Tribolium castaneum: one gene and its partners. The protein of the gene in region 4 binds, or shares a complex with, the protein of the main gene of each other region. Links are inferred from orthologs where the notes say so. Each region holds a gene or a part of one and is shown on either strand. Other genes may lie near its edges.

Region 1 (6,424 bases), on a different chromosome or scaffold from region 4:
GAACCCAGCGATAAAACAACGCTAAAACTGGTCAAGTAAACACAAGGGACGAGTTTTTCCAAACGGTGGTGTTTCTTGACCGGTAGTAGTGCGAAAATTTTGGAAATTAGAACCAAACTATTGATGGACGAATAAAGCGACATTTTCGTACTTATTACTTTATTGTGTTGGCTCAAGTGATTAAAAATTGAACTGGATCAATATGACCAAGTACGTGGTCAGGGCCGCAATCATCTGAAATTTGCCTCAAATTGGTTAATGTAATTAAGCCACTTGTGGCTCACCATGTGACAGAACGTCCAGTCCAAATTGAAAAAATCCTTCGCAGTGAATTGCAGTTTGGTATTGAGGAGCCTAATTGCGACCAACTGCAAGTGTCGCACCCTTTTGTCCACCTCGTTTTTGAGGGCGTACTTGTTCCAAATTTCGTGGACAAAAGTGGCCGTTTTGTTGGCGCTTTGTTGCGTTCGGCTAAACATTGCCACCATCACGAGCAGCCAATAGAAGCAGAAACATAAGTAAAACAAGTTGAAGGTGTAGATGACTACAAGAGTGTCGGTGTCTTCCTGTCTCGACCTGATGTGAATGAAGAGATACATCGTATCGATCACATAACCGAACCACATCACCATGGCCGTGATTGTGGTGATTTCAAACAATCCGCTGATTTTCACCGTGAAATTGGCGAGTTTGTAGTGCAAGTGCGACAGTTCTTGGATTTTTTGCACGCTGAACGTGACTTCGTCCTCTTTCAAGTTTCTCACTTTTTCGGCTTTGGTGAGCGGGAAAATGACGAACAGATCAACGGATTTGATCTGGCGCCGGAAGTGCTGGTTGATTTGCTCGAATTTGTCGCAAATGTCGCTGAGAATGTCGTTGAGGAAGAGGTGGTCCAAAGCGTTGACCACCAGAGGGACGAAACTGAACAAGTTGTAGCTCACATCGCTTGGCAGAAACGGGTAAAATAAGACATTGCCGGTGATTAAGGCAAATAGGCCACTTCGCACCCAATGGTTCGAGTTGCGTTCTTTGGGCTTGATTGAGTAGATTTGGATCGATTCGAGGTTTGATAGGAGGGTTTTTAAGTCGTTGCTGCGTTTGTAAAACATTACCATGGACGTTAACATGGCCAGGAAGCCGGTGTAACCGGCCATTTGGTCGATGTATTTGAAAATTCCGGAGAGTTTTCGGGAGTAGGTTGTGTAGATGTAGGAGAGGTAGAAAAAGTAGGAGTAGAAAGGGAGGCACAAGAAACGGGACATGAAGGAAAAGTGGGCGCTGATGGGGAATTGGATGATCCCGAGGAGTTTATAAAGGAGGGTTAAAGGGAGCGGAGTCTTGGGAAGGAGGGGCATTTTTGGTTTGGAGTGTTTGACAAGTAAATATTTATTGAGGACTAAATACGTATTGTTTTTGTTTGAAAGAATCAAGTAATTAGGCTGAGTGGATGAGTCTAATAATAATAACTTGTTTTTTATTTGGCACATGGTTACCTAGTATATTTGAATCATTTAACTCAAAAAAGTTAATTTTATAATCGGAAAATGTGATAGTGCGGAGAAAATTCACAAGGTATAGAAACAATACAGCATTGTTGTTATTTATGAACAATTTACTTGAGTGGTTGGATAAACTAGACTTGAATCAATAAGTTACGTTCCCCTACTTTATCACAATGTATTTGTTTGAAACACTCCCAAACTACATGATATTTGTGTACAGATCGTTGGGAATCATCCAGTTTTGTCCCAAAAATTCACACAAAATCGTAAAGATATCTCCCACCGTTCTTTACGTTTGTTTGCAGCTGTATTTTCTGTATACTAGTGTTAAATTTTCCTCCGATTACATGACTCTGGGATTCACTGGTCTATTCCACTACCTCGACTTGCTATCAACCGTTGGAACGGTTTTATCAATGCTAACATCACTCGTTATGTTTCGCAAAAGGAGCAAGCGACTCAAAACTTTACTTGAGCAAACCGACAAAATTGAAATTTTTCAAACAAATGAAAAGTCGCGCTTGAGTTGCATACAAATTTTGCTTTTCGCCGGTATAGTTGGCTTAATTTTACTAGTGCCGTTTTCGAATTCTATGATTGATTTATCCTTTTTTTACTTCATTCCTTTGTTCATCAATATTTTTGATCACATGTTTTTGTGTGATATTCTCAACTTTATTTCATCTAAATTTGGTTCGATTAATCACCATTTGCGCCACCAAATCAAAACAGAGGATGAGGATATTAAAACGAACATTCGACGAGTCCAAGAATTGTCGTTTTCTCATTACAATTTGGTCGATTTGACCAAAAAAATCACAAGACTGTTCGAAATCACAACATTGGCTGCGATGGGAATGTGGTTTGGGTACATGGTTGATGGTAGTTACTACACACTGCATGTTCTAGTCCATGGTAGTCCTTCTTTTTGGACAGATGTCGGTTTTAATTGCATGTTTGGCGTTTTGCATTTTTTTTGGTTGTGTTTTGTAATAGATGGATTTGCAAGGACTCAAAATACGGTAAACGGTTAGATTTGTGGCAAGTGATTGCGTTAAAAGTGTTTCCAGGCTAATTTAGCTGCAATCTATCTGCACGATATTTGGAATAAGTATTTGGAAAGAGGGAAACTTGACAGAAATGTACGTTATCTTCAATTGATTTCCATTCGGTTTTACAACACCAAAGTGCGCTTTACGGCTATGGATTTTTTTAGTCTAGACTGGACGTTTGGGCATTTGGTAAAAATCAACAAGATTTTTACTTTTTTAGGGTTTCTTTTAGATGATTGCTGCAGTTGCCACCTATGTGGTAATCTTAATCGAAATTGAGATATAATTTTGGTTTTTCCAAAAAAGTGCCATAGGCAACCAGTAATTCACGTCGATAGTGAATTTAATAGTAGATCAATTGAACCAGACGTTAGTTTAATTCTTGAAATGAAACAAAAAATGGGTGGAAAAAACTGTAGACAATTTTGTAATCAATTAAAATTTTATTATCACTAATAAGTACAGTTGAATAAGTTAATAAATACATTATGTTTTGGAGTTAAAAGTAAAAAATGAATTGTGGTAGATCCGTTGCCTGCGCCACTGAATGACCTACTCGTAACGTAACCTCAAATGCTCTGCTTAGTTTTTTGGTGTTTTTAACCCTCTAATGCCGGATATCAAGATAACCCCTTTGGGGGCCGGCCAGGACGTGGGCCGCAGCTGCATCCTCCTCACAATGGGGGGCAAAAACATAATGTTGGACTGCGGCATGCACATGGGGTACAACGACGAGCGCCGCTTCCCCGACTTCTCCTACATATCTCAAGAAGGTCCCCTTACCTCCTACATCGACTGTGTAATTATCTCCCATTTCCATCTGGACCATTGCGGGGCTTTGCCCTACATGTCCGAAATGGTGGGTTACTCAGGCCCCATCTACATGACTCACCCCACTAAAGCTATCGCCCCCATTCTCCTGGAAGACATGCGAAAAGTCTCAGTTGAGAAAAAAGGTGACCAGAATTTTTTCACGTCCCAAATGATCAAAGACTGTATGAAGAAAGTCATTGCTGTGACTTTACACCAGTCTTTGATGGTGGACAACGAGATTGAAATTAAAGCGTATTATGCGGGACATGTCCTGGGGGCTGCCATGTTCTGGATACGCGTGGGGGCCCAGTCTGTGGTGTACACCGGCGATTACAACATGACCCCCGACCGGCATCTGGGGGCTGCCTGGATTGATAAATGTCGCCCCGATTTGTTAATCTCCGAATCGACATACGCCACTACCATTCGAGATTCGAAACGTTGTCGCGAACGCGACTTTTTGAAAAAAGTCCACGAGTGTATGGACCGTGGGGGCAAAGTGCTAATCCCCGTGTTTGCATTAGGACGTGCCCAAGAACTTTGTATCCTTCTGGAGACATACTGGGAACGTATGAATCTCAAAGCCCCCGTGTACTTTGCCCTAGGACTCACCGAAAAGGCGAACAACTACTACAAAATGTTTATAACTTGGACGAATCAAAAAATCCGAAAAACGTTCGTGCAACGTAACATGTTCGATTTCAAGCACATCAAGCCTTTCGACCGTTCGTATATTGATAATCCGGGCCCCATGGTGGTTTTCGCCACACCTGGGATGCTCCACGCGGGGCTGAGCCTCCAAATCTTCAAAAAGTGGGCCCCCAATGAGAACAACATGGTCATAATGCCCGGTTTTTGTGTCCAAGGCACCGTGGGCCATAAAATTCTGAATGGGGCGAAACGAGTCGAATTCGAAAATAAGCAAATCGTGGAGGTGAAAATGTCCGTTGAATACATGAGTTTCTCGGCACATGCTGATGCCAAAGGCATCATGCAACTGATCCAACATTGCGAACCTCGAAACGTTATGCTTGTCCACGGCGAGGCCGAGAAAATGGAGTTTCTCAAGCAGAAAATCCTCCAAGAGTTCAGTATTAACTGCTATAACCCCGCCAATGGCGAGACTTGTGTTATTTCAACACCGGTCAAAATCCCAATCGATGTTTCGTTGCCGCTGCTCAAGTCCGAAGCGAGGAAATTCAGCGCTTTGCCGCCGGACCCCAAACGGAGGCGCACCCTGCACGGAGTGCTCGTCATGAAGGAGAACAATGTGTGTTTGATGGACGTGGACGACGCGTGTAAGGAGGCTGGGATTAATAGGCATATAATTCGGTTTTCGTCAACGGTTCATTTGAATGATACAGGGCCGGCGTTAGCAACGGCCCATAAATTACACGGTTTCATTAAAGAGAATTTGCCACAATGGCCGGTGGTGTTCGCCGAAGGCGAGATTTCAATCGAGTCGGTTCTGGTCAAGGTTGAAGGCGATGAGGACGAACAAAAGAACGTCTACGTCTCGTGGACCAATCAGGACGAGGATTTGGGCAGTTATATATTGAATTTGTTGAATCGAATGGGACAATAATTTATTTTTGTTGAGATTTGGTGTTTTATTTACCCCCAATACACGAAAATTTAAAAGAAATTGTTTCAATTTATTGTGTACGACTTTAGGGGTGACTATCAGAAATTCCCCCACTGTCAAAAAGAGTGCGGAGTGACTTAATAGTTATTTATTTAACGAGTTTGAGTGTAAATCGGCATGAGTGGATTATTAAACCACGAGTGAGAATGAGTTGAATACAACAAATTGCTTTAAATCTGTTAAAAATAATTTGACGTTTCGTATTGAAAAATGCCAAACATTTTGAGTGTCCAAGAATAAAAATTAAAATAAAATAAAGCTCTGAAATTGAATTGCACCGAAAATAAGTGCAACTTAAAATTTTCTAAAACTTGTTTTAAACTAAATCGTACTTTGGGTGCCACTTAAATAGCGCTTAACATCAAAAAAGCAATTTATATGCACAATTTGAAAACGGATCAGTGAGAAATTGCGTTATTCTTAATTTGTATAATGAAAAAATTAGTTCAAACAACCAAACGACCCTCTTATATGCCGCCGCACGAATTCTAAACCACCCTCGTATAAAATAATTTTGTGTTGGCGCGCTTTATTTCCACTGAATACGTCACAAATGTCACCAGATTATTGATTTTTTAATACGGGGCAGTTCTAAAAGTAATTAAAATTAGAGTACATGTTGTGAGAAGTGTTTTGATACTCGTAAATTTAACTTTACGCTTTTTGTCTAAAATTTTTTAAATTTGGAACGCTTATTTGACTCTAAATACATTACACCTCAAAGCAAAAAATTTATTCTGAACTATATATGATCGACACACAATTTATTGCGATTTTTAGGTTGGTAATCTCACAAATTTTGATGCTAAAATTAGTTTTAGCGTATTTTGATTGCCACAATTAATGTTTTAGTTTTAAACTTGTCCAAAATAAGTTAAAAGGTGACAAATATGACATTCTACAAATCGAAGAATTAATTTTCACACAACTAGGAAGTTTTATCCATAATTTACAACAAACGCCGCGGTACAAATTTTAAACCACCCTCGTATGAAATAATTTTGTGTTGGCGCGCTTTATTTCCACTGAATACGTCACAAATGTCACCAGATTATTGATTTTTTAATACGGGGCAGTTCTAAAAGTAATTAAAATTAGAGTACATGTTGTGAGAAGTGTTTTGATACTCGTAAATTTAACTTTACGCTTTTTGTCTAAAATTTTTTAAATTTGGAACGCTTATTTGACTCTAAATACGTTACACCTCAAAGCAAAAAATTTATTCTGTCCTATACATGATCGACACACGATTTAGTGCGATTTTTAGGTTGGTAATCTCACAAATTTTGATGCTAAAATTAGTTTTAGCGTATTTTGATTGCCACAATTAATGTTTTAGCTTTAAACTTGTCCGTAATAACTTAAAAGGTAACAAATATGACTTTCTACAAATCGACGAATTAATTTTCACA
Region 2 (5,388 bases), on a different chromosome or scaffold from region 4:
TTACCCAGTTGGCAACGGCGACTCTAGTTGACGTCCCGAGTCAAGTAATTTCATTAATTTGTCTTCCAATATTCTCCAAAACTGTCTTTTAGGTCAATTTACTGTTGCAATATTTACGCAAAGACTTGGGGAGTGAAGTCAAGTCGAGATGTTTGCAATTTTTGTACCAGTTCGCCAAACCGGGGGCTCATTTGTGGCCCCCGGGGGCCACCAACAATATCATAGATTTTACTTTACACACGCATCAAGCCCGGTTATTAACCCTGGCTCTTGGTAAGACGATTTGAGGTCTTGTTTTGCAAACTGATTAATTGATGATTAGGTGTGATTCAAGTCTTGACTGAATCGCCCCGAATGTGTCATGATTATCGCGACAGCAATTCAAAATTGAGAGAATTGTGTATGAAACATTGTTATTCGTCACAGCCTACAGTCGCAGTGCAAGCTATACAAATTTTGACACAACTTTTATGCTACTGGTGAGTTTTCTCATAGGTACGGAGGGCAAAACTAAGGGGCGAAATGATGTTTAAAATCGTTGTCTTAAATTATTTGATGCGGGAATGTTAAGACTTAATTTTTTAGCAAGCTGTGAAACAAATAAAATTTGCCCAAACAAGAGATTTTTTTAATTTGAAATTTGTTCCATATTTATTTCAGTATCGAATTCGCCGTAATTTATTTATTAATAATTATAGAATTATAGAAGTTTTTTGAAGCTAAGGAGATGATAAATCTATAAATAAAAAATAAAATAAGTACAAGGTGTTAATAATACCATATACAGTGTGATTTTTAAAAAACGAGCTGCCCTGAGTATCAGAAAATAAACAAAAAATTAAAACATCCCGAGACAGGTCAATTTTTATTTAACCAGAGACACCTTTTAGTGTTTTATTTGACTCACTTTGACTTTTCAGCTTGATTTTAATTATGTTAATTAGCGTTTTCATACAAATTATAAAACTAATAAATTCAAATGATCACATGGTACAGACAACTCTTCAAAATACCTCAAATAAAGGTATTTTCAACTCTTATTAGAGATTGGAAATGTGCCATTAAATTTTTAGATAATAATGTAATCTTTCTAAAAAGAAAAAACTAAAGACTGACCCCTAAATCCGGATTGTTTCCTTTTTTTCTCCCTTGAAATCCTATCCAGTAGCATACACTAACCACAATCAACACACACTAGCCAACGAATTGTGTAAGAATATGGATAACACGTTACCAGTACAAAATATACTATTTGAGATAACTAATTATTACGAGGTGGAAAACAAAGAAGTTTGTCTGATTCACTGATTTTTGTTACGCCTACGTCACTTTTTTTTTGTTAAAACTTATTTGTTGAGCAAAAATTCCAGAGAAACCATTTTAACGAAATCTTAATAAGTATTTGTAATTACACTATTCTAATACACATTTAAAATAAAGGCAATTTTTCTGTATTTTTTTTTAATTATTTGATTCTTGCTTCAAATTAAATTGTCGTTTTATTGTGCAAAATTTTAAAACTGACTTTTACACCTGTCGCCCCCTAATAGTTTAGTCCTCCGTTACCCAGGAAGAACAAAAAACAGTCGTATTTTTAGCTACAAGGAGAAACTGGAGACTGAAAGAGCGGACGAAGTGATTTCGGCCCTCGAAACTTTAATTTTGCTTTTGACTTTTTCGAACGACAAACACCCAAAACAGCTCAAGCTGGCACTGAAATGTGCTGTTCGACTGTGCGAAGCGCGGAGAGAATATTGCGAGACGTTTGTGGAACTGCTCGGCACTCGCCTCGACAACATACACAGTATGTTATTTCAATTATGGTTCAAGAACAAATCAAATCGATTTTTTACAGACGACTGTACCATCGTCATCTGTGAGACTTTGGGGGCTATTGGGGGCCTCAAACCCGACACTTTACTCTCGCTTCTCGCCAGTATTCTCAACTTATTGCGCGCTTTATCCGAAATCGACCAACCAACGGAGCAACAAACGCGCATCAAAATCATGCTTTGTACGCTGGTTTTCCAAAGCATGTCTGACTACACCTGGAACGAAGAAACCGAAAGTGCGATTTTTTGCGTTATTGAAAATAACAATCTGTGGGCGAATTATTGCATAGCGCGGGCTGCGGTCAGATACGGCCACCACAAAATCGCAAATACGATTTTCAACCAACTGACGGAACAAGTCAGTTCTGAACATTTCCATTTCTGGTTGGTTTGTTTGAAGGAAATGTCGGAAGCCGAGTCGTTTTTACTCACTTCGGACGATAGTTTGGTAAATCGCTTGGAACGGGCGATCATACATTACAATAAAGCCATCGCGGCTTTGAAGGTTCCTGTTTTACCGACTTTTGGTTTGTGATTGTTACGCACTGTTTCAGGCGGCTAGTACCCCCTCACATAATTTACAATTCCAAGCGGAGTATATGCGAATCCGTACAGAGTTTCTCCAGTCTTTGATCCAACTCATTTATACTTGCAACACCCTGTGTATAGTCCCGCCGCCTGCGATTGCCGCTACTATCGTCCAAAACACGCGAGATGAGTATCAAAGACACGGATATATCACGAATCAGTTGAGAAAGTGTGTGAAAGAGTTTAAAAATTGTGGCGACCTCTACTGGAAGCTGTACCAAACTGCGTTCGACGCTGACCCTGCCACCTTAGAAAATATGCAAATGTGTGTTCGTTTGTTTTTTTCTGTACATTTAGTTATTTTTAACGTGTGTTTTTGCAGTTTGCAACAAATGTGTGTGCTTGTGGAGCAAAGCGTGGAAAGTATTTGTGTCAACGGATCAAAAATCCGTGACGATCCGATTGAATTCGGATCGCGTGAAACACGTCTCGAATCGCAACAGTTGACAAAAGCTTGTTGCAATGCTTTAACAGTTGCGCACGCTCTTGATGATGGCTCTTCAATGACTACAATAACGCACCGGGTACTTAAATTCGCTTCGTTTTTGTGTGTTTTATTTAAAATTGTAGCACATTGAGTTGTTGAAGAAAATCTGCGAAGTGTTGTCAAATGCTTCGTTGCCTATTCCACGGTATTTCTTCCAAGTTTTGCAATGTACCAGCGTCAAGTTGGCCATTTCACCCCAACCTCGCGTCATGGGTGAATTCATAAGTGTCCAAGCCAATTCCCAGTTGGCTGTGAAAGTCGAAGGGGTGATTCAACACGGCATGAAACCGGGGCTTTTCCGCAAAATCGAGGAGGTCATAGTCACTGTGACCTCGCAGATACAGAACAATTCCAAAAGCAAGGATTTGGATAAGGTGGGTCTACGGATATCTAGAGATCAGGATACGACATACAAATAAAATCCCCATCCTTGATAGTTCTGTCAATGTCAGTAGAGGGCGCAGTTCCATTACCGTGAATTCGAAAAAAATATTACTCTCTACCCCATATTTTTCAAAACGCTGCGAATGGTTAAAGATACAAAAAAAATGTTAGGAAGAAATTTGTAGAAAATTATATATTTCCATTAAAAAAACACGGGACGGGCGCAAATTTTAAATAATTTGTTTCTTATGAAAATTTTAGTCGTCAATTTTTCTCAGTCTGTTAAGAGCACTAAGCTCAACATTTCTTTTTTTTCCAAGTAATTAGGAATTAGTTGGATTGAAATAAACTTAAATTTTGTAGAATTTGGAGCAAGTGGCGGTGCTGACGCAGTCCGTGACACCTCACAAGGACTTTTTCACGGCGCAGTTTCTGCTGGCGTTCCCCAAAGGCGGCCAGTACTTGCTGGCCGTCGAGGCGTCAGTCGTTGACGAAGAAAATAACACTTGGAAGACCGGTCCTAGGTCAACCTTGACCGTGAAAGTGCCCGAAGAGGCAAAATTAACACCGATTTCGGTGCCGGGCATGGCGTCAAATGCCAATGTGTAAGTTTGGCGAGACTTAGATTAAGTGGACGTCGTTTTGTTCTATTGTGAATTTTTTCGGTTTTTTCTTTTTTTTAGAATTTTGATGCCTGAGGATAACCTTTTTCTAAGACCTCATCAGAAAAAACCCTAAGTAAGTAATTATTTATTTTGGCGCAATTTTGTAACAATAAACAGTAACAAACGATAGATCAGATTGCTCCCACCCGTATTTCCGTATCCTTGACAGACTCCTCGAGCGTCTTCAATACGATTGGCTCGCCGAAGTCACTCTTGCCCCCACTCTTGCTCACGAGAGATATTTCACCAATCACAATGTCGTGACTGACCGACTTGCACATATCGTAAACAGTCAGTGCCGCCACACTGACAGCGGTCAAAGCTTCCATCTCGACACCAGTCTTGCCAACGGACCGCACACTCGCCTCAATGTCGATGTGTTTCTGCTCGTAATTGAGCTTGACGTTGACTTGGACGTTGCTAATCGCAATATTGTGGCACAAGGGAATGAGTTGGGACGTTTTTTTCGCCCCCATAATGCCAGCAAGTTGTGCAACGGTCAAAACGTCGCCTTTTTTCGCAGTGACGTCCCGAATTAAATCGCACGTTTTGTAATTGACCCGGACAATGCCCCGAGCTTTGGCTGTCCTCACAGTATCTGGCTTCGGGGTGACGTCCACCATAGTGGCCTTGCCTTCGGAGGTGACGTGACTGAGCTTGGTTGAGTAGGCGCGGGCCAAAATGGGAGCTGGAACAAAAATTTTTTGTTATATTTTTGGAAAGTCAAAAATTATTCGGTCCTACAGTACCTTAGAGATATATCAACTAAATTTATTTTTAGCCACCGATTAGTATCATCGGCCGGTTTTCCATCTGAGAAAGGTTCAGCATGCCTGTAATTATATTTAATGCAAGCGGTTCAAGCATGCAATTTTTGTACCTGCATGCTGCTTTTTTTTCCTTTTCACAGCCGCGTTTACTAAAGCGATTAGATCGTCTTCACTGCAACCACTTCGTAGTGCATCTCGTAATGAAATTTCAGTGTTTCCAAAGAGGCAAACTTTAAGATTCCCGTCAGCTGTGATTCTTAAGCGGTTGCAAGAGCCACAAAAGTGCTCACTCATCGATGTTATAAAACCTACTTGTCCTCGAAATTTTGGTACCTTCCAGGCCTAAATAATCAACGGTCAAAATTGTTTTTATTTTTGCTTATTGTATACTTTAGACGTATCGTTTGGTTTGTTTTCAAGAGGGTACAAATCGGGGTATTGTTTTTTTATCACAGATAACATATCTCGATATGACACTAATTTACTCAAATCCCATTTATTTCCCGTGAACGGCATGTACTCGATAAATCTTATATCGACGTTTCTATCTTTGGTAAAACCGACAAAATCGATTATTTCGTCGTCATTGAACCCTAAAACTTGGTTAAAGCAGCCAATAGAGGGTGTCTAGTACCTTTCATGACGACACAATTAATTTTAAC
Region 3 (4,572 bases), on a different chromosome or scaffold from region 4:
TACGTTAACAGTGTTATAATGCCAACCTCACGGAACACTGAGACTAATAAGCCGTTGAGTGAGAATGAGATACGGCGCGTGTTTCAAAGTTCGATCTTTGGACAGTATTTCGACCACAAAAAGTCGATTTTTACCATGGATTTTGACCTAAATAGTGAGAATCAGGACGTTGTGGTGGATGGTACAAGTCTCACCCCACAACTCCTCCTCCTCTACTATCTCCTCCTGTACGAGGACTGTCGATTGGTTAACGCCCACATTTTGGCCGCGTTTAACCGCAAAATCAAGTTGTATAGTTCCGAATTTTTATCGGAACTACCAATCAAATACTTGCTACACCACGCCCAAAAAGACCAAAGCTCCTATTCGGGTCTTTTCGGGCCGTTGCTCAAACTCCTAGCTACGCATTTCCCCCACTTGACACTAGTGGAGGATTGGTTGGACGATATGTCCATCAAAACGGAGCATAAGCCAACCCACGTGACGCAAATAAGCGTCATTGAGGCTTTCAATGACTTGGACACTAACCCATCAAAGTGTGCCAAGCTTATGCAAACTTTACTCAAACAGCAAGCCATAGATATATGGCCATTTGCCGAGATTTTCACACAATTCGCCCGCAAGATCCTAAATGACAATGTCCCACGCTACTTACAAGACCTGTACAGAGACGTATGGTTACGCTTTAATACGGTACTTCCCCGCCGATTGTGGGTTCTAACCGTCAAAAACCTAGTCGATGATTTCTCAAACCTGACACGAATCGATGTCGCTGAGGATCCTCTCCAGATCATGCGATGCGATGAGCGTGTTTTTCGCTGTGCCCCTTTATATGCGATTGTTTTGAGGGTGTTGAGAGCAAGTCTCGCGTCGTCTCGCAGCCAACTAATGCAACATTTGCAAGCTAATCCGAGATTGGATCATGCGGGGCAAGTTTTAAATGAGAGTGATAGAGAGGAGATGTGTCGGGCGACCATTGCAGCACAGGAAAGTGCAGCTGTTCAAATGCTACTAGAAACTTGTATTGAGACAGATGAGGATCGTACGATTGGGGGGCAAAAGTGGGCACTTCAGGAAGTTAGGTCGTTGGTTTGTAGTTATCTACACCAGGTTTTTATCGCGGATACGATGTTGGCCAAACTGGTACACTTTCAGGTGAGTGATTGTGTACATCGCACTCGATATGGAATACACAGCGTGTTTCGTCTAAACCCCAAAGTTCTAATAAAGATATTTATCTGAAAGTTGGTACTCGGCCAAAATCCGTTGAGTTCAGTTGAAATGAAAATCTTGAAAATATTTTCAAGATGGTGGCACTTTTGGTTATACCGGAAGTTACTACTAACTTTCTTATTTTAAATGGAAATCTATGTTTTTTATTGCGTTTTTGGATTAGTTGAGTTATTTTAAGGCCGTTTTTATCAGCTTTCCCTATACCTAAGTTTAACCGTTTTCGAGATATTTAAGATTTTTTGAAAATTTTTGGATTTGCACCTGTCACTTAAAAAGTCGGTAACTCTTTTAGTTTTGAAGATTTAGAAAAAATGTTTGGAGAATTAAAAGACAAGGCTTACATCTGTCCTCCGGTGTGTTCAGAATTGGAAAAGAAGTTAACAAACCCAAAAATTTTAAGCTTAAGTTTGGACAACTTCAAGTACCCGTAACTTAATTTTTTCAAATGGGATGTCCTAATTTTTATTTTACTAGATGGAGGAGAATTTTTTTCTGCATCGATCTGTATTAGCATTCCCTATACCTATCTGTGATAATTTTCGATTTATGTTGGTTTTTTTGACATTGTAGAAAGTTTCTTACTAACCACAGCTATTTTTGCTCAAAATTCTGTTGTCCTTAAACCCATAGACCAAGCTCTTTACATCGCGCTCGATATGGAATATATTATTATGTTAAGACCAATAATTTAATTCGCACGTGTGAATTTAAATAATCATATTTATTGTGTTATTACTATATATTTAATATAGTTTTTGACGTTTATTTCAGGGCTATCCAAGCGAGCTGATCGAGGTGATGGTCAAAGGCGTGCCCTCCATGCACATCTGTTTGGATTTTTTGCAAGAATTAATGCAACAGCCAAGTCTCGATAAACAAATTTTTGCGATACAGTTGTTATCACACTTGTGCATACAATACGCGCTGCCCAAAAGTTTAAATTTATGTGTGGCAGCACTGAATCTACTTTACGCCCTACTTGGAAGTACGTTTTTTTTTTGGTGTGAAAATTTAGCAATTTTGTTTTCTTAGGTTTGTCGAGTAGTCAAAGGGTGCGCCTATTTCGCCCGATTTTACCCGCCTTGGTGCGCATAAGTGAAGCTTTCCCGCCATTGGTTGACGATATCGTCAATCTAATGATGCAATTGGCTAAGGTTTGCAAATCACAGGCGTCGCTAGCGTCGCATTTTGACGTCCACTTGGGCAAAGAGTTGGAAGTTTCAGCCGAGGAAAGCAAGGAGTTGTGTGTGTTAGTACAGGAGACGTTTAGTGATATTTTGGATAGGGCTGTCTTCAAATCGAAGATTTATAAGCAGGAATAAAGTTTGAAAAAAAAGTGAATGCGTTTTTATTTATTTGTTAACTTCAAGCACCCATAACTAATTTTTTCAAATGGGATATCTCAATTTTTTTCTACTAGATGGAGGAGATTTTTTTTCTGCATCGATCGGTATTAGCATTCCCTATACCTATCTGTGATAATTTTCGAGTTATGTTGGTTTTTTTGACATTGTAAAAAAATTCTTACTAACCACAGCTATTTTTGCATGGTTGGCTATAAAAACATTTCTGATTAAACAAACGACAAACTCTGTCAAAATTGTGTTGTCCGTCCTGCGAAAACAAAATAAATTCATTAAAAAAATTTAATTTCTCACATTTTTTCCATGTCAACCTATGAGAAAAAGCTAATGAATTTCTCAATCCTACAACTGCAAATTTAGTTTTAACAGATAATTAATTTCTTTATAGCTTTGTATGTGTAATAAATAATTTTTTGTGTGCCTAAAAGCCGAAAAAATCGTGCAACGCTCTAAATAATTGAAAATGCGTTTTTTTCCCGCCAATGATGTTTGGTTTAGTGGCGCCCCCCCCGGTAAAACTTGGTGACTTTGCGTTTGTCCCCACGTCAGCTTGACCACCGTCTGCCGTCATCGAACGGTTTTTATTGACAATTGCTGGTCGTGTTGTAAAAATCGTGCAAAATGCGGCTTTAGATCAAAGTATTTCCTATTCTCCCGCTTCCAGAGTCGATTTTGAGCGTTGTATGTGCGTTAAGGTTGGGAAAATCGCCACGGAATGGATTCAAAACGCAAACTATCGTAAGTGTCCACCTGTGTGTTGGGAGTCGGTGTGGGAAAGGCGGCGTTTTCTGTTTAGCACACAGGGGGATTCCCTGTACCAGATCTTAGCACTGCCCAAGACTGCGACGTCGGAAGAGATCAAGAAGACCTACAGACGGCTAGCGCTCAAGTACCATCCAGATAAGAATCCCAACAATCCGGAAGCGTCCGAGAAGTTTAAGGAAGTGAACAGGGCACACTCGATTCTGAGTGATCCGACGAAAAGGAACATTTATGATAATTACGGCTCGTTGGGGCTCTACATTGCCGAACAGTTTGGGGAAGAGAATGTCAATGCGTATTTTGTTGTTACGTCGACCTGGTGCAAGGTGAGTGTTTCTTTACCAAACAGTTTTAGGTAATCAATGGGTTTTTTATTGGCTGAAGATCAAGACGCGTATAATTTCACTTTTTTTTATTTTCCTGCTTGCTTGATTTGTATTGTGACTAATAAGCGTGTCAGAGATTACTTTGTTTATTGAAATTTATGCCCACACTTTATGGCGGCTTAAGATAAATAACCATTATAAGTTTCTCAGTAATGTTTCATAGAAATATTAAAAAAAAGAAAAAACGCAGAATTTCTAACAAGTTACTAGTTTTTAGTTTAGTTATTTTTTCCTCAATAACTATTAGTCGTAACATAATGTTCTCTTCTTATAAATAGCGATAATAAAAAGAGTTTTTTAACGATGGGATTTTCACAATTATTGTGAAATTATTGGATAAATAAACACTGGTAAATTTTTTTCTTTTTTTTTTTCTTTTCTCAATTACGCAAAACTATTCCAGATAAATTCGTTAAGAATTATCTCAAAAATGACAATATTTTTGACCAAAAATTTAAGTTTTTTTTTTGTTTTTATTAAACTATAATGAAAAAATCACCAAATTTGGTCAAAAATGAGCGAAAATTTACCTTTTCTAAGCAAAAACTTAATTGTTTCGCATAATTTCTATAAAAGTAGGCGAATAAATTACAAAATTATGTCAAAAATGATATAATTTTTGCAAGTTTTGAGAATTTAAACACGTTTTTTGACCAAAAATTTAGTTTTTCTGTTTGTTTTTATTAAACTATAACGAAAAAATCATCAAATTTGGTCAAAAATGAGCAAAAATTTACCTTTTTTGAGCAAAAACTTAATTATTTCGCAAAATTTCTTTAAAAATAGGTGAATAAATCACAAAATTATCTCAAAAATGACATTATTTT
Region 4 (6,540 bases):
TAAAGGTGTACACAAATAATGTCGAAGCTGTTGTGTGCAAAATAGTGTAAAATGTGTGCACTTTAGCGCCATTAAAATGAAAAACAGCTCGGACGGCTTGTTTGGGTGACAGAAATTGTTTGGTACAAAATTAGTTGTTATTGTTATTTTTAGGCTTCCAACTTATTGATTGTGCTTTCAACAAGATGATGTTCGGGACGAAATTGTTAAACCCGACGAGAAAATAATAAATTAGGGGCAGTGTGTGTCTTACACATGCATTTTTGGATTGACAAACGTAGTCAAGGATGTGGGTTTAGTGGCAGACGACTGGTGCCTCCATCATTCTATGGTAGAGTTTGGGTTTGTTTAAATAAAGTGGCGAGTGTTTTATTAAAGGGTACGGCCGTAATCCGAGATTTGTGTGCAGCGGCTTTCATCCAAAACCGATGGTAACTCCAGTACATCGCTTTCAGTCTATTGAGAGTGTGGCCAACAATGGTTTGAGATACGCGCGGTCTTCGGGGTACCATTCCAGAGCGCCCCTGCACTGCCAGCCATCTGTCCACTACAAGTACCGAATTTTTGCTTTAGAAACGTGCTAACGTAAAATTTCAGTGGGGCAGCTACGAGCGTCCGCAACAACACTCAAATGGGGCGCTCTCTGGAAATAATAACAGGGGGGCAAATCCACACGCCCACCCCTCGGAGACACACCACCCCGACGGCCAAGTTCAAATGCGGCGTGTGGGTTTTTTTCGCAATAGTGACGTTCTTTATAGCTGGTGCCAAATACTACTTTCACGGGGTAAAAAATAACGCCATAATTTGTGTCGGAATGATTGTTATTTCAGGTCAACATTGGGATGGAAGCGTTCGCTTTCTGCTCCCTTTTGGTAATACTTTTGATAATTGGAGGTTTAGTCTCGTTGTACGAAGCGATCACGGCGACTGCGAACGCGCCACAGGAGGAGAGCGTGGCCGTGGCCCCCGTTAATGACCAGGAGGAAACTCACAACCAAGTGCCAAGCTCGCTCATGCCGCCCGCTTCTGCTGAATTGCCGCCGCCTCCGTACCACATTGCCATCATGTTGCCTTCGCAAAATGATACCGAAACCGTGCAAATTATACGGGATTCCCCGCCGCCCTCCTACGAAAAGGCGGTCACATAATGTTGCCAAGGCGAGGGTTGGTCGCGTTCTGTTAACTCCCGGACCCCGCAGGCAGCACACCCGCAAAATAAATAACAAATTAACGGGGGACTAACTCCAACCCTTAATAAAAAATTATTTATTTTTTAAAAACGGTTGTTGAGAATTACATTTGATTCATAAAAATCTGGAAAGCCTCAATATTGTTGAAACTTTCTTAGTCTTTTTTTTATAATCTAGTGGACACTGATAGTCTGTCGCAATAAATTAATATTTAATTTATTTATTGAAATAAAAAAAATATAACGCGGTGGCGCTGCCTGCCCTTTACTGTTACCTACTGTACTAAACCACTGAACATTTAAACCTTCTCACTGTATGACACGAAACCAGGCAGGGTGATTTTGCTTAAATACGTTAGACAGACCTTACAATGTTCAAGAAATGTGATTTGGCTGTCTTTTATCAGTCAATTTTGTACATACTTTATGAAGAAAGCTGTGAATTATTTGAATAAGTTTATTAAGCATTCCATGTGTTTTACTTTATCCAGAAATATCAAAAAACGTGCCTGTATTATTTAATATATACACTGTGTAAATTTCTCATAAGTTACTCTCGTGTGTAGTTTTTGATATATTTGTAATTACTTTTTTTTAAGACAATCAAGAGGTAAAGTGTGCGTTTGTTTCTTCCACCATATATACATGTCTGTAAAATATACTATATTTATTACTTTTTACTGTAATATTATCTCGTAAGCTGTTGTACAATTTACAATTGTAACTTTGTGTTTGATAAGTGCAGGGTGTTTGGAAAAACACGTGCAAGTATTAAATACAAGTATTTTCATCTTTGTCTACTTCTGCATACATATTATATACATGTGAAATACGATATTCAATGTAATAAATTGTTTAAACGCCTGACTAAAACTTCTTCAAACACTGCATAACGATACTGCGCAGCTTTGTCCTCAAAGTTTCGTCACCAGTGCACACCACGTGCGTACTATTGTCTTCCAACTGAATCAACGCGTCTTCCTCTTGCTTCAAAAAATCATAAAATAAATAATTAAACCGGTAAGTATGAACTTACCAAATGTATAACAACGACATTCCCATGCGACTCCACCTTCGGCTCACTAATCCCCTCCTGACTCAACTTTTGCAAAAAATCAGTCACATTCAAACTCCCCCACTCATACTTGACGTGTTTACTCGCCTTATTCACACTGGACGACAAATCCTTAAAAAATACCTACCAACTTTTTCCTTTATCATTTTTCTCACCTGTATGCTGTGCACGTTGTCTTTAATACTCAAAGTCCCCGTAATACTCGATAAACTAATCCCAGGCTTCACTTCCACCGGCACAATTTTTTGAGCAACTCCGGTTTCAATAAAAATCTGACTATGTTTCCGCTTCAAAGGCAAGTTAATCACTTCGCCCCATTTGTACGGAATTAATGTACGGTCGTGATTATTTTCAATAACATAGTCGGTCAGGTTTGGGGCCGAAACTGGGGGCTGAGTGTAGCATTCAGGGACCACAAGTGTGTTCGGTTTTAAGTCCCTGATGAGTTTGTTGGCTTGGGTGAAATTGAGCGAAGTGTCGATGGCACAGTGAGCCACTTTCATTTGCAGGGGCTGGTACGGGGCTAAGGCTTCGGTGTAGTCGAAATCAGGCTCTGCAAAAAAATTTTATTAACAAAAAATTTTAAATGTAATTACCTGTAAAAACAATGCAGTTCCTTGGGTTATTGCCCCACAACTCGATAAAACGTACAACATCGCCAAATCTTAAGGAGGGGTGCCCACAAAAAACAACACAGGGCTAAAAATAATTCAACTATTTTTGGCTACTAAATTTTAAAAAAAACCTCCTGGAAATCCGTGCTGAACCCGTCCGAGTAAACATGTTTAAAATGCTTAAGTTTGTTGTTTTTGACCAAAAGTCCGTGCGGGAACGGCTCTTCGGTCACATACACCTTGTTCTGTTTAACCGACGAAAGCCACTCGGCTAAAATATTAGAGTAGGCTAGGCTAGTATCAGCCACTGGAGACACGAAAAACATGGGACAGTTCGAAACGCCCAAATCTTGCATTTTCACCGACAAGCACTCAAATAAATCGTAGACAACTCCCGTGGGATAGCACGGGATTAAAACATTGCCTCCCCCACGTAGCGTGAGCCCCACCACCACGCACAAAACGCCCAACATCGAGTCCGGGTTACTGATGGGGGTTTGTGTGAGGTCTGTCATGATCAAGACATCGGCGTTTTTGAGGGAGTGGTGGTCCATGGGGCGGGGGTGGGTGGTGAGGGTGCTTGAGCCGCTCAAATAGACGATCTTTTCGTGGTCGGAGGTGATGATCCAGTTGGAGGAGCCGAGGCAAAAGCCGGAGCTTGAAGGCATCACTTTCAAAGCCCCGTAAACGTCCTGGCAAATATTTAGTTATTTATTGTTGCGGAATGAATCAAAAATTACAATTTTCTCGTTGTAGCCCACCATCTGTATGCGCGATAAACTCGCATTGACGTCGTTCATGTTGTAGAGTTGTTTCCAGGATTTGGGCTTGAAGGAGTCGCTCAAAGGATAGGGTAATTTATGAATGAGATTTTTCCACTGGGTTGCGAAACTGGCTTTGGGGCACTGGTCAATGTAATTAACGAGTTCCTCGAGTAGTAGTCGTCCGATTTGGAGAGTGGGCTCAGTGGCGTACACCCTACCTTGGAACCCAGTCCCTTCTGTGATAAATGGCAGTGCCATCATGCACAAATAATTCGAAATTAAGATAACGTCGACTTGGGCAAAATCTATGAGTTTGTTTAAAGGGGGGCAAAATTCCGGCGGTGAGTCGACAAAAATGCGGTCCCCATTCTCTTTCAATTCCTGAAATTTTCAACTTATTTTGCTACTTTACTCGATTTTAACTCTATCTACTCCTTCCAAATCTGAATCAGAGACGTCGTTTGGCATCCAGTTTGGTAAGTTTGATAATTTACTCGAGGCAACAAATGATAAAGGGAGGAAATTTAATACTGATTGCATGGAAAGACCGCAGTCCAACATTAAAGTTATTTCCTTGAAGGTAAGGATGTGACATGGCTTGTTCGGGTCGTTACTCAAACAGTACTAAAACGAAACGTTATTTGAGTTAATCTGCATTAAAATAACTCACTAATTTCATTTTAAAACTGTTTATAACCTAAAACGCCGACAAAAAACGAACATAACCATAGAATAAGAGAGAGGAACATAACTACAACTGTCTTAAAAAAATAATTGATATGCAACCCACATTCCACAAGCGATTGGGGACAAAAAACTTCACTTTGGTCTCTTAATTAATTAATAATTACTTTTTAATCTTTTTATCAATCGATAAGCCTTAATATGTAAAAAGTCAGTCGCAAATTGGGAACTCCCACTAATTCATAGTCCGAATAAATAATTTTCGTTGACTCTATTTTCAAAATGTTCCTGTTATCACTTTTACTGAAAATGGGCAAAATTCTAGCAATTGTGCCCTCTAAATCAAAAAAACTCGTAGTTCCCACGCTAGTTTTACTCTTTCTTACACTAAACGTTGCCCTTGCTACATTTTACAAAAAATCTGATTACATGAGTCTCATTCACATCAAACTTGTGATTGCTGTTTTAATGGACGCAACTTTGTTTATCTTTAATTGTTTAATTATTGTTGTGGCATCGTTTTGGAGACGCAAAACGTGGCTTCGCCTTAACAATGAACTGGGAAAAATTTGTTTATTTGCTCCCAAAAATTACTACACGAGCTTTGTTCTAACTTTTTTTATTTTTTGGACTGTTAGTGTTTACGACGCGTTTGTATGGACTGACGTAATGGGATTGGAATTTTTCAAGCAATATGGGATTGAAATAATACAGTCATACATGTTGTTTTACTATCAGTATTTATTGTATGTTGTTCTTGATATAATACTTCAAGGTTACAAAAATGTAGGTGTTATATTGTCCAAAAAACACGACTGTCAAATATTAAAAATTAAAAAAACACTTCGATTGTTAAAAAATACAACCGAGCATTTTAATAAAGTGTTTGGATGGCCGTTCCTTCTAATAATCGTGTACACAAGTTTGCAGATTCTTAACTACTTTGATGACAGTTTTGAAAGCGGATTTTTGTATGAGAAAAATGAGTATGATGAGGTCATCATTTCTAACGTCTGTTTCCTAATAATGACCACGGTAAATAATTTTTTTCTTTATAAACATTCACAAAACATCGAGTTTTTTAGGGCGGCACCATCGTATTAATATGGTTGTGTGACTCAGTTTTAGTAGAGGCAGAAAAACTCACAATTTTGGCACAAAAATTACACAGGAAAACTGTAATAAGAAATTACCAAATTATTATTTCAGACATGACCGCTAATTTTCCAAAATTTTACGTGGGCCGATTTGTAGTCATAACCAGGTCAACAGTTTACCACATTTTTAGCATTATTTTTACATATTTAATTGTGATGATTCAGTTTAAAGAAAAACTAGTTGTCAACGCTATGTAATTTTTAAATAAAAGTGATGTAAACCATGTTTTAATAACTTTTGGTCCATTGACAAAAATGGTGGATGCGCCGGGAAAGTTAAACATTTATTTCTACTACAATAAATTGTTCAACGATTGAACCCATTTCCTGGAAAAAGGAGTTTTAAGGCCGCTTGTAAATTATCATTAATCCTCAGCGAACAACTTTTTTCCAAATCGGTCCTGCAAGTTGGGCAAAAATGAATGTCTGAAGCGAAACAATTAATAAGACAGTCCTGGAACCAAAACCATTGAATCAATGTTCCAAAAACTAAACAATCTTACGTGGCATATGTTGTGCAAGCATTTGGTTGTAACAGGCATGTGTAAAATCTCGTGACAACAAACACAAGTAAACAGTCGTTTAACAGTTTCCAGAAACGTCGCTTTACCATTTTCCAACTCTTTGCTACATTCGTCCCACAAAGCTTTATTTTCGGAATCTTTTTTCATAAAGTATTCAATATTGGGGTCCAAGTGAAAACTAATTGTGTCGATTTGTATTACTAGCCATGGTGGAGCTGCGCTATCGTCTCTTCTCATCAAAAAACGCCAAACAACGGCGTCAAATTTACTGATTTCGGGAAAATATTCAACGACTTTGTAAATTCCGTCGTATCTGTAGCCACTTTCAGGGCCGTATTTTGATCTCGCAACTGTTGAATTCCGGATAACTCTGACGGGTTTTCCGTGTTTCCAGACATCGGCCACTCCAAACCCGTTGTTCCGCATTTTATAGTTGTTACAGTTTAAAGATAATGTCCTGAGAAATTAAAAAATGAGCAATTAAAAAATCTGTCTTAATTACTTTACTTAATCATTTTGTTCACAAAAAC
Region 5 (6,549 bases), on a different chromosome or scaffold from region 4:
AAGGTGTCACCACCCACTGCGCCTCTTTTGTTTTGGACTTCCACCAATTGAATCATGTAAGTTTTGTCCAAAACTGAGTCCACGACCAGTTTCGGGTCCAAAAGTGTGGCTTTGTCCAAAGTACTCAGCAATTTACTGATGGAATTTGTCGGTATTCCGAACGATTGTATAAAAAGGACCAACTTTGGCGGCTCTAATTTTTCAATGGCTGCGTCAACCAATCGTGGGACGTTTGACCGAATCATCCGCAGTTTCATCCAATCAGGGAGATACGACGTTCGTTCGTTTGTATCAGGTGTGTAGGCTTGTGGTTGTTCGGCGTTCGCCGGAAACCAAAAATTTAACAAAGTCTCGAACGGCTCAAAATTCTCCAAAGGACCGTAAGTCAGTAACACAATAGCTGCGTGTATTACTAAAGTCTGCATGTGGCATTGTTCCCCAGTCACCCAAGTCACCAAAACATACTCGCTGTAGTTTTGCACCGAACTGTAAATATCCTCCGAGAATTCCTGCGCTTTCTGAATATGACTCGCAAAAATGGTCAAAAGGTGCTTCAAAGTTTGGTTGTCCGGCCCTGGCAACACGTACGAAGCCACGCTGTGTCTCTCGATAATAACCGACGATAAATCGGCGATTAATTCGTGCAGTTCCGTAAACGAATCGTTACAATCCTGCGTTGCCAAAAAATTGATATAACTCGAAACCCGCGCCGGATTTGTCTCAATTTGCAAGGCTTGCCGCAAAAACTGTATAAGCACTGGTTTAATCATCGTAAAGTGTGGAAAATGTGTTATGTAACTCGTCAACCAGTTCGTATTATTCGTCTCGCTTTCCTCCCCTTCGGCCAAAATCAAATTCAAGCCTTTGGTGGCCTGCGTCCGACTCGCCCCATGATCGGACGTCAACCGCCTGAACAAATACTCCAAAACCTCACAGGCAGTCTGCGGATCATTCTCATTAACCACCGTCCGCAAATGCGCCAAAAGCTGGCCATGTTTCGTCAATTTCTCCGTCGGTGTCGTCGACAGGAGATACTCGCACAGACATTGCACAGGCAGGTGGGCCAACGCCCCCTCCGAATTGTGCACCAGCTCGGCCAGCCACGGCATATGCGCGGTGCCCCCTTGCCGCGACATAATGTCCAATAGAAAATCGGGGTTCCGCGAGCGGCACAATAAATGTCCCATGCGATGCGTGTTGTTCAAGTGTTGGAGCTGGTCGAGGACGGCTTGGGGGGGCCTTCGGGCTTCGCCCTCAGGCCGCAACTCCATTAATTGGGGCAATAGGAGACTGCTCTGTTCGGTGATTTCCATTTTAGTGCTCGCGGCCGCGAGGTGTGATTCAAATTCCAGGATTTTTTGCTTCTCAAGGGCGAGGATTTGCTGCTCGCGGGACTGGTAGTCTTCGTCCAGGGAGGTCATGGTGGGCGGGGGAAACGAAAAGTGACTAAAATGGGGATAGTTAGGGTCAAGTATACGGGGATTGGAGGTCGGAGCGAAACGAGATACAAAATCGCACTCAAAAAATATAGTAAAAATTCACAAATTATTTGGAAAAAAATGTAGAAAAGTTGAGCTGACTGTGATGGAACAACGGTTTTATTTGTACGTCGTTTCATATCCTGACCTTCAAGAGATACTAACTTTGTTATGCACATTTCCATGAACATGCGCAACGTTGGGTATTTGTTCCAGACCTCGTTCCCAAAAGTGACCGGATTATGAGCCGCTATGATCAGCAAAATGAGCCAAACTTTCCAATAGAGCCCAGAAATGGCCAAACTGGGGGGCACATACCCCGCCGGCAGCGTGATATTCTCCGGATAATTATAGCTGCACAAGTTGAAATAAATCCCGATTATCTCCAAATTATCAACGACCAAGGGCGGGGCGCAGTCTTGGGGCAAATTCGCCGCCCTTCTAATCAACTGATCGCTAATTTCAATCGCTTCCGTGGGACTAATCGGGTGTTCTTTCGAGTTCCCGATCAGCAAAATCCTCAAAAGAGTCGCCTGAAGCAAGGGAACCTCACTCGTAAGCCTCAAAAACAAGTTCCTCTCGTTTTCGCCAGGCCACGAGTCGACCTTGTAGTAATGCTCCGCTTGTTCGAGGAACAAGACTTTGAGTAGAACGTGGTGGAAGTCGTTGAGACTTGGCCGGAAAACCCTTAGCGCGGAGTCGTTGAGCCAAGTCACTGCCTCCCGCTGTATGTTACTGACTTGTTTCTGGAAGGCTTTCAGGACCGTGACGTCGCGTTTGTTTTGCGTTGAGGCGTCGCGGACCTGAGGGCTGACGCACAGCAGCATACACATGCAGACCAGGTCGGCCAGTGATAGAAAAATTCGCTCGCGAAATTCCGACTCGCGCACGTTATTCGCAAACTCTTTGCGCTCGCGAACGAGCGAATGCACGATGCTTAACAAGTTGAAATCGTGCCGGAGGACTCGGGTGATTTCTTTCAAAAGCGCCCGCAGCGAACGCAAATAATCGTCTTTGTTTAGGAGCAACTCCTGGGGACAGTTTTAATGCAATTTGTTTTTGATTATCGGTGTACTCACCAGGCAAATGTCGGCGAAAGCGTCGGCACTTGCCTCAGGTGCGACCTGAAACAGGGCCCCCACGACGATTAAATTGTTGGAATTTCGGGCATTGGACAGTTCGTTGTAAATCGTGTATTTCAAAAGGGGGTACAAGTTCTCCGGGAACGAGTAAACCATCTCCCGGAGACAGTTGTTGAAGTAGTTAACCATGGGTTTGTTCTTCAGTCTGAGCTTGCTCAGCTGCGCTATTATTTCCAAGTCTCTTTGCGAACTCGCCGAGCAATTGTAGCACAAATAGGCGAGGAGTTCCTGCGCTGATTTCATCAACTTATGGTTGTGTAGCCAACTCTCGATGCGCGAAACGGCAATTATGCGAATTTCCACAAGTCCTGAAGCGATACTCAAGAAGCGGACGAAGTTTTTCGTGATGGTTTCCGGTTGTTGGCGCCTTGCTAGTTGTTCCTTGATGGCTTCAAGGACGATTTTTTCGACGTTTTCCTGCGTTTGGGTGAACCGGGGATACACTTTGACGTTCCAGTTTTCAACTGCGGCTTTATGCTCGAGAATCACTTCGCTTTTGGTGTCGTCGTCAGCGCTTGTGATTGTGAGGGGGCTAGAAGTGTCTCTAGCCGTGGAATTCCATGTCTCGGATTTGAGGAGCGAGGAAGGGGGCAATTTGGTGTTAAACGCCGTGATTATGTTATCAACGAATGGTTTACAGTACGGATTGTCGATAAAAATGCGATCGGCCACCGCGTCCTCCACATAAATCTACGAATAATTGTGATTCTGAAACATTTTTAATTTTTTTTCCGACTTACTTTGACGAAAATTTCCGGCCATTGGGCGACATCGGTGAAGGCGTGAGTTAATAAATTAATAAACAGCATGTGGAAGTAAGAATTTGTTTTGTTAACGCCCTTAAAACCGGAAGTTACATCACGCCGCAGAACATTCACAATAGCCGCTATGATATTCTCATTAGTGAATAACTGGGGTTTGCAGCTGCAAGTCAGTAAAAGACTCAGATAAACCACTTTACAAATCTTAGTCCTTTGAGTCTTCAACGAGCGAATGACCCCCAAAACATACCCAACCTGAAGCAACCAATTAATTTCACCCCTAAACACAATCAAGAAAAAATTACAGCTTTATCAGTATTGCCGGCATTAACAGCCGCCATAATACTCTCGAACAAATCGCTTGTCTCACAGTCCACAGCCAGGGCTTCCCACGGCTCAACCCCCATCCTCTCCACAGGTAGTATGCTGCTAGTGGAGGGCCCTGGCCGGCTTCCCGGTATCGCAACTTTCATTTTCTTCGAAGGGGGCACTGTAAGACTAGACGAAGTCCCTTCACGCTTCAATTTATCCGTCACTTTACTGCTACTTGTTTGTAAATGGGAGGCAGTGCTGGTTTTAGGGAGCGGAACGCTACGTTTGGGGTCATCTCGAGGGGAGGATTGTTTGGCCCCCAAAGCGATGAACAAGTCAGGGGGTTGTTGCGTTATTTTGGCCTTGGGGCCACGAGTGGCTTGGCTCTGGCCCGGTTTATTCCGATCCATGGTGGACCAATTATCACAAACAATGCAACAATTTTGGTTTTTTCGCAGTCAAAACAAGAAAAAAATTTTGACAGATAAGAGATAAGTTGCCAGTTGCACCAACCATTTTTCAATAACCATCTCTCTCTTATTCTATGGTGTTGGTGCACAGACTAACAGGTTTTGATTTGTGTGAAGACAGCTCCCAAAACCAGCTCCTCGAATTTCCGAAGAGACCCGAACATGAAGCCAGTTTCAGACTAGCAAAATAAGTTTCAGTTTGCTTAGATGTATGTTTGGTTGTCAGCTTTGAAACCGTTTAATAAAATAAAAATCCGAAAAAACACTAAACACCCTCTTAAAAATGACATTTTAAGAAAGTCACTATGCTAATAGCGAAAAACTCAATTATTTACCACAAATTGCTTTTTAATTTTTCCCACTTTTTCACCTAATTTCAATATTTATGGCTCCGCAAATGCATTATTGTAGTTTTCGCCCCATTTCACCCCGAAATCGGTTTTGTCACACAATGCCCTTTTGACCACTAATTCAACAATAAAAAAGACGTTTTTTAAAAATAAAATTATGGCCTTTTAGTTGTCGGAACAATGTTAAAAATTGTTATGTTGCCCAGCTCCGCAAATGCACTGTTGCAGTTTTCGCCCCATTTCACCCCAAAATCGGTTTTGTCACACAATGCCCTTTTGACCACCAATTCAACAATAAAAAAGACGTTTTTTAAAAATAAAATTATGGCCTTTTAGTTGTCGGAACAATGTTAAAAATTGTTATGTTGTTCAGCTCCGCAAATGCATTATTGTAGTTTTCGCCCCATTTCACCCCGAAATCGGTTTTGTCACACAATGCCCTTTTGACCACCAATTCAACAATAAAAAAGACGTTTTTTAAAAATAAAATTATGGCCTTTTAGTTGTCGGAACAATGTTAAAAATTGTTATGTTGCCCAGCTCCGCAAATGCACTGTTGCAGTTTTCGCCCCATTTCACCCCGAAATCGGTTTTGTCACACAATGCCCTTTTGACCACTAATTCAACAATAAAAAAGACGTTTTTTAAAAATAAAATTATGGCCTTTTAGTTGTCGGAACAATGTTAAAAATTGTTATGTTGCCCAGCTCCGCAAATGCACTGTTGCAGTTTTCGCCCCATTTCACCCCAAAATCGGTTTTGTCACACAATGCCCTTTTGACCACCAATTCAACAATAAAAAAGACGTTTTTTAAAAATAAAATTATGGCCTTTTAGTTGTCGGAACAATGTTAAAAATTGTTATGTTGTTCAGCTCCGCAAATGCATTATTGTAGTTTTCGCCCCATTTCACCCCGAAATCGGTTTTGTCACACAATGCCCTTTTGACCACCAATTCAACAATAAAAAAGACGTTTTTTAAAAATAAAATTATGGCCTTTTAGTTGTCGGAACAATGTTAAAAATTGTTATGTTGTTCAGCTCCGCAAATGCATTATTGTAGTTTTCGCCCCATTTCACCCCGAAATCGGTTTTGTCACACAATGCCCTTTTGACCACCAATTCAACAATAAAAAAGACGTTTTTTAAAAATAAAATTATGGCCTTTTAGTTGTCGGAACAATGTTAAAAATTGTTATGTTGCCCAGCTCCGCAAATGCACTGTTGCAGTTTTCGCCCCATTTCACCCCGAAATCGGTTTTGTCACACAATGCCCTTTTGACCACTAATTCAACAATAAAAAAGACGTTTTTTAAAAATAAAATTATGGCCTTTTAGTTGTCGGAACAATGTTAAAAATTGTTATGTTGCCCAGCTCCGCAAATGCACTGTTGCAGTTTTCGCCCCATTTCACCCCAAAATCGGTTTTGTCACACAATGCCCTTTTGACCACCAATTCAACAATAAAAAAGACGTTTTTTAAAAATAAAATTATGGCCTTTTAGTTGTCGGAACAATGTTAAAAATTGTTATGTTTTCCAGCTCCGCAAATGCATTATTGCAGTTTTCGCCCCATTTCACCCCGAAATCGGTTTTGTCACACAATGCCCTTTTGACCACTAATTCAACAATAAAAAAGACGTTTTTTAAAAATAAAATTATGGCTTTTTAGTTGTCGGAACAATGTTAAAAAAATTTATCTTGTCCAGCTCCGCAAATGCACTGTTGCAGTTTTCGCCCCATTTCACCCCGAAATCGGTTTTGTCACACAATGCCCTTTTGACCACTAATTCAACAATAAAAAAGACGTTTTTTAAAAATAAAATTATGGCCTTTTAGTTGTCGGAACAATGTTAAAAATTGTTATGTTGCCCAGCTCCGCAAATGCACTGTTGCAGTTTTCGCCCCATTTCACCCCAAAATCGGTTTTGTCACACAATGCCCTTTTGACCACCAATTCAACAATAAAAAAGACGTTTTTTAAAAATAAAATTATGGCCTTTTAGTTGTCGGAACAATGTTAAAAATTGTTATGT

Evidence for each region.
Region 1: the proteins of IntS9 (region 4) and IntS11 are in contact, whole or in part, in a cryo-EM structure (PDB 8RC4), measured with the Homo sapiens proteins. The link is inferred for Tribolium castaneum from reciprocal best matches to the Homo sapiens genes INTS9 and INTS11. Residues at the interface, in NP_060720.2 of Homo sapiens: Glu127, Gly198, Tyr199, Ser200, Gln201, Lys202, Tyr231, Glu338, Phe339, Ile342, Phe343, Glu345, Gln352, Lys354, Val355, Tyr356, Leu357, Pro358, Glu359, Pro360, Pro361, Arg511, Arg512, Tyr513, Glu514, Lys515, Ile516, Glu517, Ile518, Met519; in NP_060341.2 of Homo sapiens: His94, Gln97, Ala98, His137, Leu138, His139, Gln140, Thr141, Lys274, His277, Tyr278, Lys280, Leu281, Phe282, Ile283, Pro284, Trp285, Arg291, Phe294, Ser449, Pro450, Ser451, Ile452, Pro453, Val454, Gly455, Ile456, Ser457, Leu458, Leu461.
Region 2: IntS9 (region 4) and defl share a complex: the UniProt entries of both Homo sapiens proteins name them as parts of the integrator complex. The link is inferred for Tribolium castaneum from reciprocal best matches to the Homo sapiens genes INTS9 and INTS7.
Region 3: IntS9 (region 4) and IntS2 share a complex: the UniProt entries of both Homo sapiens proteins name them as parts of the integrator complex. The link is inferred for Tribolium castaneum from reciprocal best matches to the Homo sapiens genes INTS9 and INTS2.
Region 5: IntS9 (region 4) and IntS1 share a complex: the UniProt entries of both Homo sapiens proteins name them as parts of the integrator complex. The link is inferred for Tribolium castaneum from reciprocal best matches to the Homo sapiens genes INTS9 and INTS1.

The regions. Positions count from the first base shown.
Region 1 is NC_087396.1:21,612,830-21,619,253, forward strand, and holds IntS11 (integrator complex subunit 11), read left to right. Parts: upstream 1-3,033; 5' UTR 3,034-3,164; coding exon 3,165-4,952; 3' UTR 4,953-4,968; downstream 4,969-6,424. Other genes in the region: Gr102 (gustatory receptor), read right to left, coding at 1-143; Gr101 (gustatory receptor), read right to left, coding at 231-1,487; gustatory receptor Gr103, read left to right, coding at 1,676-2,524, 2,573-2,833.
Region 2 is NC_087397.1:6,152,187-6,157,574, reverse strand, and holds the end of defl (integrator complex subunit 7), read left to right. Parts: coding exon 1-44; intron 45-92; coding exon 93-273; intron 274-322; coding exon 323-479; intron 480-1,586; coding exon 1,587-1,804; intron 1,805-1,855; coding exon 1,856-2,337; intron 2,338-2,386; coding exon 2,387-2,685; intron 2,686-2,742; coding exon 2,743-2,944; intron 2,945-2,990; coding exon 2,991-3,281; intron 3,282-3,654; coding exon 3,655-3,896; intron 3,897-3,974; coding exon 3,975-4,029; 3' UTR 4,030-4,083; downstream 4,084-5,388. UniProt on the Homo sapiens protein: Component of the integrator complex, a multiprotein complex that terminates RNA polymerase II (Pol II) transcription in the promoter-proximal region of genes.
Region 3 is NC_087401.1:16,831,964-16,836,535, forward strand, and holds the end of IntS2 (integrator complex subunit 2), read left to right. Parts: coding exon 1-1,155; intron 1,156-2,004; coding exon 2,005-2,218; intron 2,219-2,265; coding exon 2,266-2,555; 3' UTR 2,556-2,576; downstream 2,577-4,572. Other genes in the region: dnaJ homolog subfamily C member 5, read left to right, coding at 3,313-3,335, 3,394-3,685. UniProt on the Homo sapiens protein: Component of the integrator complex, a multiprotein complex that terminates RNA polymerase II (Pol II) transcription in the promoter-proximal region of genes.
Region 4 is NC_087399.1:2,706,538-2,713,077, forward strand, and holds IntS9 (integrator complex subunit 9), read right to left. Parts: upstream 4,428-6,540; 5' UTR 4,325-4,427; coding exon 4,316-4,324; intron 4,270-4,315; coding exon 4,078-4,269; intron 4,027-4,077; coding exon 3,622-4,026; intron 3,574-3,621; coding exon 3,013-3,573; intron 2,967-3,012; coding exon 2,864-2,966; intron 2,821-2,863; coding exon 2,423-2,820; intron 2,379-2,422; coding exon 2,229-2,378; intron 2,180-2,228; coding exon 2,060-2,179; 3' UTR 1,962-2,059; downstream 1-1,961. Other genes in the region: uncharacterized protein LOC103314074, read left to right, coding at 256-331, 379-553, 598-787, 834-1,151; E3 ubiquitin-protein ligase UHRF2, read right to left, coding at 5,794-5,940, 5,990-6,467, 6,518-6,540. UniProt on the Homo sapiens protein: Component of the integrator complex, a multiprotein complex that terminates RNA polymerase II (Pol II) transcription in the promoter-proximal region of genes.
Region 5 is NC_087397.1:1,925,846-1,932,394, forward strand, and holds the start of IntS1 (integrator complex subunit 1), read right to left. Parts: upstream 4,146-6,549; 5' UTR 4,104-4,145; coding exon 3,687-4,103; intron 3,637-3,686; coding exon 3,361-3,636; intron 3,311-3,360; coding exon 2,558-3,310; intron 2,510-2,557; coding exon 1,644-2,509; intron 1,447-1,643; coding exon 1-1,446. UniProt on the Homo sapiens protein: Component of the integrator complex, a multiprotein complex that terminates RNA polymerase II (Pol II) transcription in the promoter-proximal region of genes.